Rattus norvegicus: one gene and its partners. The protein of the gene in region 1 interacts with the protein of each later gene in a pairwise test. Links are inferred from orthologs where the notes say so. Each region holds a gene or a part of one and is shown in the gene's direction. Other genes may lie near its edges. The genes, in order: Kctd9, Gem and Syt6.

What was found.
Region 2: the proteins of Kctd9 (region 1) and Gem interact in binary tests that used the Homo sapiens proteins (3 or more experiments, as listed by UniProt). The two-hybrid records come from large-scale screens. The link is inferred for Rattus norvegicus from reciprocal best matches to the Homo sapiens genes KCTD9 and GEM.
Region 3: the proteins of Kctd9 (region 1) and Syt6 interact in binary tests that used the Homo sapiens proteins (3 or more experiments, as listed by UniProt). The two-hybrid records come from large-scale screens. The link is inferred for Rattus norvegicus from reciprocal best matches to the Homo sapiens genes KCTD9 and SYT6.

The regions. Positions count from the first base shown.
Region 1 is NC_086033.1:46,115,853-46,120,628, forward strand, and holds the start of Kctd9 (BTB/POZ domain-containing protein KCTD9), read left to right. Parts: upstream 1-2,034; 5' UTR 2,035-2,109; coding exon 2,110-2,157; intron 2,158-2,422; exon of another isoform or gene 2,423-4,776. Other genes in the region: Cdca2 (cell division cycle-associated protein 2), read right to left, coding at 462-635, 724-787. UniProt on the Homo sapiens protein: Substrate-specific adapter of a BCR (BTB-CUL3-RBX1) E3 ubiquitin-protein ligase complex, which mediates the ubiquitination of target proteins, leading to their degradation by the proteasome.
Region 2 is NC_086023.1:30,017,581-30,022,256, forward strand, and holds part of Gem (GTP-binding protein GEM), read left to right. Parts: intron 1-1,247; coding exon 1,248-1,324; intron 1,325-2,082; coding exon 2,083-2,287; intron 2,288-3,637; coding exon 3,638-3,915; 3' UTR 3,916-4,676. UniProt on the Homo sapiens protein: Could be a regulatory protein, possibly participating in receptor-mediated signal transduction at the plasma membrane. Has guanine nucleotide-binding activity but undetectable intrinsic GTPase activity.
Region 3 is NC_086020.1:193,779,834-193,784,609, forward strand, and holds the start of Syt6 (synaptotagmin-6), read left to right. Parts: upstream 1-1,642; 5' UTR 1,643-1,789; coding exon 1,790-1,952; intron 1,953-2,317; exon of another isoform or gene 2,318-2,825; intron 2,826-2,929; exon of another isoform or gene 2,930-4,776.

The DNA.
Region 1 (4,776 bases):
CCTTACACAGTATCACGGTGTGATTGGCTCCCCCAGTGTCTCATTATCCTTCTTTATAATCACTGTTCTAGAACCCAAAGGACTCTCTTCCTATATTTCCTTTGACATTGGGAATTTCATTCCTGAGGTTGAAGAAAACCAATATCTGGGTCTTTCTGTTTGGGATTTTTGAACGAGGCACAAAGCCTTGTCCCTTTTAACTTTCTTAACTGCCTTTCAACTTCCTCTGATTTTGAAATACACTGGTGGGCACAAAGCACAACTGATTCAGAAACTGTGTCATATTGGAAGCCCTAGGACTTTTTGATCCCTGCTATATTTGCTGAAAAGTCTCCCCAAACAAGCAAGTCTGCATGGTCAGTATAAATACACACAGAAAGAGTCAGACAGTATAACATGTATAATTCAGGACTACTAGAGTTATTGTTAAACTTGAAAAACTATACAAGAGCTTCTCTTACCTGAAGGGGTCTTAACAAAGCTTTCAGGTGTAATTCCCAACTGCTCTACGGTTACTGTGGAGAAGTCCAAAGGTGACTTAAAGGTATCAGGGGTGCAAAGATTAGGAGTCATGTCTGCTGCATGCTTCTGAGGGGTCACAAGCGGCCCGGTACCCAAGATAAAAAAGTCATTTTCTGAAAACGGAAAACACGTTGGAGGGTTAAACAATACATTAAAACACTCAAACCTTCCACTTAACGAGGGCAACAGGTCACCACATACCAGAATTATGACGGACACACTCCTTGGATTCAGAGAGAGGCTTGTTGTGTGAACTCGTATCCATCTGGAAGATGAGGAAGTTAAAGAATAAAATGTAAAAAATCTCACTACAAGCCAAAAAGAATGCGACGGAACTCTAACGCAATTAATACCACGGGAATACAAGCTGGAACGTTCTGATTAAAGAAACGGCGGGAGGTAGTATTGACTAAACAAAGCGGACCGAAATGATTTGTCCCGGCTTTGCATCCCTGAACCCCGGACGCATAGCAAGCCTACCTCTCCCGCCCGGGCCCCGCGCGTTCCCTCAGACGACTACGACAAGCGTCGCGGAGGCTCCGTTTCAGAGAGCACCAGAGGCCCGGGAAGAACCGGGAGGGCTTCCTGCAGGTCGCTGCACACCTGGACACACCACGTCCGGAGGAGGCGATCAAGCTCCGCTTGCCCGCCAGCAAATTCAAACCGCGGCCACGCCCCCGCGGAGGGATCTTGCGGAACGGTGGCCCACGTGTGTGTGCATCCCGCTCCCTCCAGACCTTACTCTCGTGCTCTCGGACGGAGCAGGGAGACTCTGTGTGTTCCGGAAGAATCACAGACAGCCATGAAATGACCCTGGAGAGACGAAGCTGAGGCAAAAAGGTGTACTGGGGACTACCGGTGAGTTCCGCGGAGCAATACTTCAGTTGCGAACAAATCCCGCCTCTAACCTTGGATTGGCTGCTGGAAACTTCGAAAATGAATCACCTGACCAATCGTGACAGAACCGCCGGATAGTTTACTCTATTAGCCAATCCAGATACCAACCGTTACCTCGGTGGGTGGGTGTAGTAGGAGGAGCTAAAGCCCAGCGAGGAGTTGACTGGTATATGGGACTTTGGCGTCCCGCCTCTTCCTTCTCTTTATGCAAATAAGCACTCCTACACTCCGACGTGCGCCTGCTCAGTAACGCTTAGAGCGGCCCTTTGCCAGTAGCTTCTGTTCTGATTCGCAGATACTCCTTTCCGTCAACCAGCTTTCAGCCTCTCTTTCCTTTCACCGCCGTCTAGTATTACTCTGAGCCCACCCTCCAACCGAACGCTGATTGGCTTAATGCTGGCCAGTGCGGTCCGTTGATTGGCGCAGGTCAGTGTCAATCTGGGCGCGCGGTTGGGGGAAGGGCCGCTAGCAGGCTGAGGAGCCTAGGGGCGGGGTGGGAAGGAGGATCGGCCAACCCTGGGGTGTGGGACAGAGGGTGCGTGCGTGAGGAGTGTGGGGCCGACCAGGAAGGTGGCGAAGGGCGGAGAGTCCGGGTGGGAGGCGGGAGGGGTCTCGCGGGCGCGGAGCGCGGCGGGTGGCGGGCCGGGAGAGAGGGTGGCGGCTCCCTCAGGACCCGGCGCGGGCGGAGCGATGCGGCGGGTCACGCTGTTCTTGAACGGCAGCCCGAGGAACGGCAAGGTAAGCGGCAGCGGGGGCGCGACCCGGGGACCCCCGCAGCCTCCGACAGCCCCGGGCAGCTCGGCCACCGGAGCTCCGAGGCGCCGCTGTCACCTGAGCAGCTGGCCGAGGTCCCCTCCCATCTTCCCGCTGCGCCCTCCAGTCCTTATCCGTGCTGAGTAATGCTCAGCCTGGGGAGGAGGCAGTGATCACAGAGGCGAGTGACCCTGGCCAGGTCGGGAGAAGGAAACTCCAGGGGACAGTCGAGTGACATCCTCAGAATGAGGACCTGGTCTGGACCGCTTTCCTCATCTCTCAGGGTGCCCCGGGCCCCTTGCCCCACCACTGTGCAAACTTTTATACACGTTTTATTGTGTCGCCTTGTTTTGGTTCCTTAAAGGATGATGACAGCAGACTTTCGGAATGACTTGATTTGACAGTAGCCTTAGCTGCATTTAGGCCTCCGTGGAGGGCGTGGTGCTAAATATTTTTCCGATGTTGCAGCTGCCTCTTGCCCCACCCTTGAAAGTTATTCTTTGGAAAATATTGGCTGTTTCTGGCGGACTAGTAATGTGTGGTTAAATGATTGCCCCACACATTAACTAAGCCTGTTTAAAGTCTCAAAAATAATGAACCTTTTTAAAGTTTCAGTTCAAGGTACATCGGCCAGAGTACTCTGATTCCCCTACGTATACACAGCAGAACTATTCAAAGGCATTAAAGTTGGGGGTTGGGGGGGGCGGAGTTTTTCAACCATTCTGCAGTTTTGAATAAACAGATTCTGGAAATCTGATCCACAGTGGGGTTTGTGCTCTGATTTTAGTTTCCTAAAAGATTTGATATTCACACAAAAATAGTGTTCACATTAGCTCAACAGTGCTTCAGAAATACATGCTGAAAAGCTGTCAGTTCTGATCGTTAACTCTTCCTTAACCAACTCTGGAGTTGGCTAGTAGTCTGTGTCGTTTTTTATTGAAAGATTTAGTGTTGCCAGTTGTATTGATATGCACTTTCACCAGTGTCAACTCTGTTGTGTGACTCCATGAAGTCAAAGCGATTAGGGTTCCTATAAGTCTTCAGCTCTTCTCTAAATCTCTTCTGAATTCACAGAATGCTATTGTCCAAAAATTAAGGGAGTTGCTCTTGGTGTATTTTTAAATTTTTTTAAAACTTCTAAAAAGTTAAAACTTTGACTATGAGTTTCCAGGTTAGTATTATTTACTTGAAAAATGTTGAGACTCAGAAGATTGGAGAAAGTGCATCTCAAATGATTATGGGTACTTATGGTTTACAATGATCCTAAGATTGAAATAAAAAATATTAACATTTAATATTTAAATGCTAATATCCTAAGCTATAGAATATGTTCCAAAGCTATTTCCTGTCCTTTCAGCTGATGGGAAAATATTAAAATGACTCTTATTTGAAAAGATCACAATACATACATACCACCTGCATTTATGTATGTGGCTATTTAGTGAAATCATAGTCACTGTATTTAGTCAGGATTGTTGTAAACTTGATGTGGATGCACATTAAAATGTTCCCAAAGGAAGTGCTACTCTGAAATAGTTTGCTTTCCTGTTTGTAAGGTAGAATATATCATTTAGATTGTCTCCTTGCTTACCTGGTGTCTATTTTTAATCCCCTAGTCATGAGAATTTTGTTTGACTGCATCTCCTTCTTACAGCTTGCTTTGTGGCTATTAGGCCATGCATGGGCTGTGATGTAGAAAGGCACAGTTTCTTCACCAGGCATCAAGATATCAACATGCATTTTTGATTTGTGTAACTGAATAGTGCTTTTTTTTTTCTTTTTTCTTTTTTTCAGAGCTGGGGACCGAACCCAAGGTCTTGCGCAAGACCACTGAGCTAAATCCCCAACCCCTGAATAGTGCTTTTAATGTTGATGAAACAGCCAATTTTTTTCTAAGTGAAAAGAAGTACATGGAAGATATAAGATGATCCTTGGGGGTTTAGGAAGGGGTGCATGTTATTTATATTTTTATTTGAAAACAAAATAATTTAAAAAAAACCTTGCTTTTTCTAATCTGGAAAAGCATGGGAGCCTCTACTTCCTGAACCTGTCAAGCTGGTCTTGTTTTCTTCCAGAACACAGGTCTTCATATGTAAATAGACTGGTAGCCAACAGTTCATTTACCAGTTGGTTCTCTTTGACATAGGATGTATAGAAGCCTATAAGTACATTACAGAGATTTACATCACACAGTATTAATGGGATTAGCCATCAGCTAAGTGCCAAGTGACTTTAAAACCTAAAAGAATCTGCAGATTGAAACCAGTATTAATTAGCAAGCACAGTAAACATTGGGAAAGTAGCAAAACTGGCTGCTTTTCCTAGCATCAGCTGTAAAGTTAAAAAACTAAAAGGCTCTCAGAAGCCAAAGAGTGCCATGTTTTAAGAAACTCTTTGCTTAATAACTGCTATAGTCAACTTCTTCCTTAGGGTATATTGTTCTTTGAACTATTAACCGGCGATATGATGAGATCATCCTCATCATGACATGACCAAGACATGAAAAGAGTATTTTCCTATGCATGCAGTCAAAGGTCTTAGATTTTTTTTTTCCTTAGTTTTTAAAAATTTTTTGGATTAGGGAGATGGCTCAGGAGCAAGTGT
Region 2 (4,676 bases), on another chromosome or scaffold:
CATGGGATTAGTGCACAGGGTTGATGGGAAATCCTCTTGCAAATATCCCAAGACATCTTGTTTTTCCAGATGGCGCTCCTCTGGCCTGTGGATGTTGTCATCCATCACTTACAGCCAATCAAGGCTTGAGTTCAGAGGGGAGTTTCCATTACTTTCTATATAACAATGGCACATTCCTAGCACCCAGGAGGCAGCTTCTAGGCCAGCCTGATTGTGTCCTGAGTTCTAGGCTGGCCAGGGCTACTAGCAAGAATCCATTTCAACACAACAAAGGAAATGGGGCGGAGAGTTAAAGAAAATAATGGTCCAGTTAGGGACCACCTCAAAATATTTTTTCTTGTGCTTCTGCAAAGAGGAGAAACATCACTGAGCTCAGAGTTTATGAAGTTTCCAGTGTGTGTTCAGGCCTGCCCCACCCCCAACTGGAACACAGTGGAGCTCCCATAAAGATTATGGAAATAGGGCTTATAGTTAAAACATCCCATAATGCAGCTTATGGTTAATGCTTTCTCATAGCTTCAGCCGTTGAACTGGAGTCAAAAGGTCTTAGGGAGTTTATTTATCCTTATAAATGGCTTTCCTCCATAAAAGGCCCAAGAATGATGAAAATGATTCCCTTTTAACTCGAGCTATTGAGCCTTCCACAAGAGCTGTGGGAAGTCTGCTTAGTGACTGGAGGACTGCGTGCTGCATATTGAAGGGGAACAATTGTGTGTGTGTGTGTGTGTGTGTGTGTGTGTGTGTGTGTGTGTGTGTGTGTATACACAGAGAGACTAGAGGTCACTGAACCATGTTCCCAGCTCTTTGAAGTTGATTCTGTCTCTATCTAACCCCACCTCTGTAGGTGTGTATGTATACGCTCATGTGGGGGCACATATGTGTGGATATGTGTGCATGTGCATTTGGGTTCTAGATGTCAGTCTTGGGTATTGTTCTTCCATAGACATGAGTCTTGTTTTGGGAGACAGAGACTGTCGGCTAGGCTGGGCTGTCATTGAACCTTAGGGATCTATCTGCCTGTTTCTCCCTCCCCAAAACAAGGATTTCCAGTTGCCTTCCACAATGCGTGGCTTTTCACATGGATTCTTGAGGACTGAACTCAGGTTCTTGTGCTTGTACTAAGCACTCACTGACCGAGCTGCATCCCTAGTCTCCTGGAGTATAAATTCTAGAGTAAAGTCAACAGGAACCTCTCATGCCGAATTATCTCTTATCCACCGGACTGATATCAAATCTCTCTTTTCTAGAAGATACATATGAGCGTACCCTGGTCGTTGATGGAGAGAGTGCAACCATTATCCTACTGGACATGTGGGAAAATAAGGTATGCAGAGCCTGTAGCTGTCTGTGCATTCCTTTAGGGCTTGCCTTTCAACAGGCTGCTTGGTGCCAGAGTGACCTTGTCCTACATAGTAGATGTTCCAGACAAGGAGGGCTCATTTCCTTGATTGAAAGCATTTACTTCTGAAGAACGAGACTGTGCTGGGGAACAGGTCGTTCACAGATGAACCCTGAAGAACAAACAAATTGCAGTGGTTTTTTCCCCCGAGTTCTATTAAAAACCACAAGAGGCATATTTGTTTTAGGGAAAGTTCAAACAAGCATGGCCACTTATTTTCAATGACACAGAACCACCTTGTGAAAAGTTGGCTTTCTCAATCCTGGATTCCAACATGGCTTTTGACAGGTTTTGGGTCTCCCAGCAAATATGAAAGATCATTGTTTATTGAGAACCTTCCTATTCCCACAAAAATATTCTTAATTAGGAGGACTCCAGGGAGTCAGAAAAGGCTGGTTCTTGGCGACTTAGATTGGGATTGGGAATACTGTTTGTCAAAGTACTTTTGTATTATATCAGCCCAAGCTGTAGTAGTAACTGGAAAGTAAGCTGTTTGCTATAAAAACAGTACAGACTGCCTTTCTTTGCATCTCTAGGCATCCTGGAAGGCCAATGCCTTTTGGGGTGTTGGAAGCAGTTTTCTTGTTTTCTCTTACTTGGGATAGACATACGATTTCTTTGCAATATGGCACCTCAACTTTTAGGCTAGCCCGAGTTCATGGAAGGTCTTTTTATTTGATTAGGGGGAGAATGAATGGCTCCACGACCACTGCATGCAGGTCGGGGACGCCTACCTGATCGTCTACTCCATCACAGACCGGGCGAGCTTTGAGAAGGCGTCTGAGCTGAGGATCCAGCTCCGCAGGGCCCGGCAGACAGAAGACATTCCTATAATTTTGGTTGGCAACAAAAGCGACTTAGTGCGGTGTCGAGAAGTGTCTGTGTCAGGTGAGAGGGTGTGTGATATGGGGTCCACCCCTGCACAGCACACATCGGCCCACTAGCAGGTTCTCTTCCTCATCCCCTGCAAGGCTGCAACCAGGGCCTCAGTGGGGTGCTCCGTGAAGCTTAATGTGTATTGGCTAAGACTCTCATGGTTCTCATTGTTTGTATCAGTCATGTGTTGTTCTCTGTATCCTCTGGGTATCCTGAAGGTCCAGGGTACCCAATCCCCCTTAGGTGTACTCCCGGAATTACTTTAGAGAGGAGAGCATCCTCAGGAATTTCCTGACAGTTTTAGCCTTTGCTCATCCTCCTGTTCTCCAAGCAGATCCCAAGTTCAGGGGAGGAAAAGCCATATCTGAATGCAAGGAGAGGAACTCTGGATTAGGAGACTCAGAAGAGAGAGTTTCCAGAGAAACAGCTGTTGGCATTCCATTTAATACTCTCTAACGCCGCCCACTACTTTGTAAACTTCTGTGAGGACATCGGACTGACGGGACCACACATGCTTCTTGGTCCTTAGTTCAAGTATAATTTCTATTTGATGAGTAGGCCTCCATATTCTTTTTTTTGGGGGGGGGGCTTCGAGATTGTATTGGGTCAGTGTAGATTTAGTACAACTGTAAAAAAAGTAAAATATGGCATTTTCAGTCTCTACTCAGTCAAGGCACTGTTCCCAACTGGTGGGAATGTCTTACTAGGACGCAACAGTGTTCAGGGTTCACATCTTTTCAAACTAAAACACGGACATGTGGACATTAAACACCATGGAGTATCTGAAATTGAGAGTGTTAGAAAAGCTTGGACAGTTCGATGTAGCTGTATTATATTTTTACACAATCATTTTCCCTAAAAATATATCATTTAATCACATTTTTCAAAAGATAGGAAAGCTACATAGTAGAGTTAGAATCACAGTTTTTAGGGACGGAAACTGAATCAGGAGAAAGTGTATAGGAAGCAGGGCTGAGTTTCCTGTCCTTGTTGGCTGTATGAGTTCTTTCATTTTTTTTTTAAACACACACTCAGTTTCTTCCTCTATCTGGTAAGAATGAGGGTATGATTTTCAAGACTGTTATGAGCAGTGAAAAGTGTTTGGAAAGAGCTTAGCCTGGGTTTTGATGGAACTGGACTTTCACATCGTGAGTTTGTGGTGAGCCGGTTCTAGCCGGCTTCCTGGAATCCTCTTATGGGCTATTTCTATTCAGACCCAGGAGGGTGCATGCTGTTGTGCGTCCTTCTACCTGTAATGTAGCCTACTGCCCCATGCTACCCCTAGGACAGTTTTCGAGCGGTGGTCTCCAGCGTGGCCATACCCTATGACCCTTGACTCACTTCTCTCCCTTTCCTTTCTAGAAGGGAGAGCTTGTGCCGTGGTGTTCGACTGCAAATTCATCGAGACCTCTGCAGCCGTGCAGCACAACGTGAAGGAACTGTTTGAGGGCATTGTGCGGCAGGTCCGTCTGCGTCGGGACAGCAAGGAAAAGAACGAGAGGAGGCTGGCCTACCAGAAGAGGCGGGAGAGTATCCCCAGGAAAGCCAGACGCTTCTGGGGCAAAATTGTAGCCAAAAACAACAAGAACATGGCTTTCAAGCTCAAGTCAAAATCCTGCCATGACCTGTCTGTGCTCTAGGCACCCAGTGTCGTCCAGATGTCCCCTTGATGGACGTCGTTGAAGGCTTTTGGGACCAGTGATCTATATTAGATTGGATACAGAAGCATTGTTAAGACGCGGCTTCCCCTACTACAGATGGGAACCAAGAGGTTAGCCTCATGGGCAACCAAGTGCATGGGTGGCGAAAGATCTCTGTCGAGAGTCAGTATTTATTTGTAGGAAAAGCTTGACCTGCTATGCTAGATGGATGCCCCAGACTCACTTAAGGGCACGTTTGGGGTTCACACGAGTTTTTCTCTCCTTTGGGCAGCAGAATATTGAATCTTGTGAAGAATGCCTAGGACAGAAGTGTTTCATCATTGAAGTTTTGCTCAGTGTTCTGTGTGAATCTGAGGTCCTTGGGTCATAAAGAAATGTAGGAAAATGGTGTTTATTGGAAGGAGAAGGGCTCTCTGCAAACTTATACTCCTGGAACTGCAGCTGCGGAACTGGCCTCCTTGCAGTTTTTACTGCTCTATCGAACTGTGGAGAGAATTGTTAGAATTTGCTAGAAACTGAGGCTTACTGACAGTTTTTGTTTAAAGACCACAGAGATTCCTAGACTTAGACGCTGATATGCGTGTACCACTTATAGGTTCAAAAAATTGTTTACTTATGTGTCTTAGAAGTGTTTATTTTGAGGAAACTATTTTTTTTTTGCCAGATCCTACTTAGTCAAATCATCTTTTATGTCTTTTTTTTGAAATCATGAAGCTGTCATAAAATATTTTTTTAAAAAA
Region 3 (4,776 bases), on another chromosome or scaffold:
TCCTCATTTGTGTTTTACATAAACACAAAACCCCCGCTTGGGAAGCTGCTAATGAGAGTGTTGCCTGGGGCCTCGGAACTCCGATCTCTCCTCCGGCTGAGATCTACATTGGCGCTAGAGGGGAGGATTTCGGGCTTCTGGGTTCCTCAGGTGGGTGGAAGGCAAGTGGAGAGGCAGAAGTTTACCTGTTGTTGGAATAGCAACCCAGCACCACTGGCTGGAAGGTGGTCCAGATTATACAGGGTCGTGGATCAAGCCTTCTTCAATCCTTCCCGCTCGAGATCCCACACTTCCCTATGGCAGGCTCTAGGGACCCGGGTGGAAGCTGTGAACCGGCTTTAATAGCCCGTCCCCATTATCCCCTAACACAGTGCGCACGAGCTGATTGTACCAACCGAACCTTCAGCACCGCGGACAGGGACACGCGCTGGTCAGGAGCCCGAAAGCCTCCGAGCCCAGGCCAGAGGTCCCTCAGGTTGAGTGAGACCTTTCCCTTACTACCCTGGACACTGGCTGTCTCGGGCTTGCAACAATAAGGGCCAGTGGATTAGGCTGGTACAGATGGTGCGAATGGTGATCGCCTGGAGCTGCCGCTCCGAATCTCCTCTCTTCGGAACTTGAGTCACTTCTGAGGGTACCTCGGATTAGCGTGCATTGGGAGGAAAGACCCTTCTCCCAGACCACTTTCACTTGCACACTCCAGCTCGGTAGCTGCAGATGTAGGGACTCAGGCTGAAGTTTCTTTCCCAGATCCTACTTCGGGAAGGCGACACAATGATGGTAGGTGGAGGGTGGGAGTTTCCTCTGATAGGACAGGGCTCATTCTCCTGGCAGTTAGCAATGGCTCCTAGATTTCCAGGCCTGGTTGAAGCATCGCGAAACTAACAGTCACCCTGCTTCTGAGTCTCACTTCACAGTTATTGAGGGAAGCTCCTTTTACAGTCTAGCCTCCTATTTAGTTTTCCTTCTTTTTGACTCTTGTTATATATGCCTCATAGAAAAATAAATTATTCTGGGTTTGGTCTGATGCATGGAGGTGGGTTTGGTGGGAACCGAACCCCTTTCTGAAATGCTCCCCACTCCTATTCGCCAGAAACTTTCTCCTCCAGTTGCCATGGAGAGAGACGGCCGCTGCCTCCAGTCACCATAGCAACGTGAGGGTGCCTCGGACCGCAAGATTGTGGGGCTCTGAAAGTCTTCTTTACAGTTCCCCTTGCTCCGCGGTCTTGGGGTCTTATATCTCCGAAGCCGAGATCCGGAAAGTCTGGCTAACTTCTCCAGTCAACTATCTTTACAAGGTCCTCCCGCCGTACAGTCGGGCCGCCCCTTTTCATGTTGTTATTGTGATGCCCACTTGGGTGGCATGTGGCAGTTTCCCCAAGGTTTTCACAAGCACTACCTATGTATTCCGAGGAAGCTCACAGAGCACCAGTAATCATTACACCTCCTTTACGAAAAGGAAAACTGAGCCCCAGAAAGGCCCAAGGTCACACCCTCAGTGATGGCACCACTGGCATTGATACTGCAAGGTGTGGGACAGCGGGGTTGGAACCTGCCTGGACTTAGGCAAGTCCCTGAGTGTGGAGGGGGCGGCCGTGAGGCGCCAGACTTGCCAGCTGCCGCGGGATGCCACGTGAGGGGCGGGGACCCTGCGGGGAAGTGATTAAAAGCAGAGCCGAGCCTCAGGGGGCCGCCGCGGGGAGGGTCTTTTGGGGGCCTCCTTGCCCCGCCCCAGTCCGGCCGCGGCTAGAGTTCGAGTCACTGCTCCGCAGCCCTGAGGATCCGGGGCATGAGCGGAGTTTGGGGGGCCGGAGGGCCTCGGTGCCAGGCGGCGCTCGCGGTCCTGGCCTCTCTGTGCCGGGCCCGGCCGCCCCCTCTCGGGCTGGACGTGGAGACTTGTCAGAGCTTCGAGCTGCAGCCCCCGGAGCAGAGTCCAAGCGCGGCCGACTCAGGTACCGGGAGACCCAGGGCCCCCTCCACTCCTGGGTTTTCATCTGGGTGGCCTCCCCTGACCAAGACACCTGCCCAAGCGCCCCAGAACCTCAGAAGTCTAGCTCAGAGTTCCAGTCTGGGCCAGTCCCCTGGCTTACCGCCCGCAGGGAGAGATCCCAAGAGGACCCTTCTCCTCCCGGGTCACTAATTACGAGAGCCCCGAGATGCGGCATCCTTGGGGCCTCAGTTTCCCTTGTGTCTCTAGGCTCATCCCAGGAGCGATTGGCCAGGGTCGGGGAGAAATGGAGACGTCCTGGGCACGGAGGAAAGCCTGTGTTCCCGGGGTGGGGGTGGGGGCGGCCCAGGGTCTAGGGACCATCAGTGACTGGGTGACGGCTGGTCGAACCACTGGGCATGGGAAAAACTTGCGTCTGCAGCTGGCACGCGGTCTTTGTGTCCAGGTCTCTCAGCAGCGAGTGGCTGTCTGCGTCTCGCCGGGGGGCGGGGGGCGGGGTGGGAAGAGTGTCGTGGCGTACCCCCCACCCCCAGGCACCCCTATAACTCGCTTCCTCGGTCTCTCTCTGACTCACTCGGACTCCGGGCCGGTGTTCAACTGAGCCGGTGCCTCTCACCGACTTTGCCAGGCGGGAACCTCCTGCCCCGGCCGCACGGACCCTGCGCCGGCCGCAGCCCCGGCGGCCGCCAAGTCTAGGCGGCAGCCCGAGCCGAGTCGAGCTCACCGGAGCCGGTGAGTCCTGAGCCCGAGCCCCTCGGGGAACGGGTCCTGCGTGCAGCCGCGACGTCTCGCGGGAGTCGCGACAACAGGGGTGGCGTGTCGCGCCCTGGCGGCGGGAGCCGCGGGAGTGTCCGCGGCGTGGCAGCCGACCGGCCGGGTATGTACCTGCTGCACCAGTCTTTGCCGCCAAGCTCTCCTGCTGCAGCGGGATCCTTTGTCCCGCAATTAGGAGGGTACGGGACAGAGCAAGTATGGGTCGTGTCCCCTCGGAAGGAAGGGCCCAGGGTCAGCCCGCGGCCCGGAGCGAATGCGGCGTTGGGGGTGGGGAGATCCTGCAGAGACCCAGGCGTTGGAGTTCTCTGGGGTTCCGCAGACTCACCACACCTTGTCCTCGACCGAGACCCCGACCGGGACCCTAGTGGCTCTTGGCCTAGGCTTAAATGGGAGTCGCTTCGTGGTTCCATATGGCTGGGGAGGGAGAGAGAGGTGGGGGCCGTTAAGGTCAGATACGTGGTCTTCCCGCACCTCTCCAGGGACAAGTTGCCAGAGACCAGAGAAGTGGTACCCGGTAGCAGGTGCAGGTCGGGTGAGCTCCCAGTGGCCTCGGATTCCAGAGCGCCTTTTCCATTGGAGGTTAAAGGTCAACGATAGAGGGAGATTCTGGGTTAGGAATAGAGGCTGTGAGGGAGGAGATAGAGAGGATAGGGGAGGCTGTACCTAGCCTTCTGTGAGTGGGGCCCACCTCTCTTCTGTAGGAGTCATTAGGGATGCTGCTCTCTCTCTGGCAGTCTCTGACACTGTTTAATCAATGAATTGACGACTGCAGTAGAAGAGACCAAGATTAGACATAAAGAACTTTTGAGAGTGGGACAGTGATAAAAGTTGGCTCTGCCTCTTCGGGAATCTCAGAGCAGATTAGACTGACATTAGACGCGGGTCCTCTGGTGTATCTCTTTCTACACCATGATGCTTCCAAGACAGCAATTCCCTCAAGTCAAACAGTCACTCCCTACCTCCCCCATTCCTGAGCTCCGTCTTTTCCTCAAATGCTCCATCTGCAGTAGAGTCTTCCCCCTGGGCCTGACAGCTCAGAATACGGAGGCCAGCACACATCTTTGGAGTTCTGCCCTACTATCTGTCCAAGGCAAGAAATGTGGTTTAGGGTGGGGTGTGTGTGCTGTGAGTACATGTAGGCAGGAGATGCTGGCAGTCTGACTCCAGAAGGATTCCTTTAACCTGAGCAGCACGGCTGAGGAGAGTGAGGCAGGCTACCAGATGCCTTCAGAGTGTGATTGAGTCGTATACCCACCCTGGCTCAGGGGAGCCTTCACATGGTTACTGCATCCGTCACAACCCCCAAGAAATCCTAGGGCCAAGGTAGAACGAGAGACGCAGGTAGACAGAGAACTGGATCACACCACAAGAAAATGGCTCTGGAACTTTGGGGATTTAGGTGAGCTCTATATCTAGAGGAATGTGGTGTTCACATCAGGGTGCCAGACCTCCCACCTCCCAGCCTGCTCCTTGCACCCCAAAGACTCCATCTAGGATCCGATCCTCCAAGCAAAGCAACGTTAGATCTTTTCTTCTGCACTTGTATGAGAAAGGTAATGCACGCGGGGAGAGTATGATCAGCTCCTTTCCCATCTCGTCTCCTCTCCTTGCCTTCTGCGGCTCTTATGCCTCTAGCTCCTGGGATTCCCAGTGATACCCCAAACTCCAACAGTCAAGACTCAGATTCCACTACCGTTTGTGTGAACCTGCCCACAGGTCAGGTCTGGGCAAGGAACTGCATCAGAAATCTCCATGAATTGGACTCTGACTCGGAAACATCTGTGCTAAAACCTCCCAACTAAAAGCACACCCCCTTCTCTGAAAACCCCAAGGATAAAACGCCTGCTTTCTTCCTGATGTACTACTCCCCAGAGGCCCATACATGCAAACGGTCACCAGCAGGCCTCTCCTGCCATTTTTCTTGTGGAGGTGAATGAACTCTATGTGCAGTCCAAGTTGCAGTAGAAATCTAATCGTGTTCTAGAATGTGCCGGAGCCTGAAAGCGAACCCAAGCTGACCTGTGCCTGGTGCATAGCCCGGAGTGGTGGCTCCC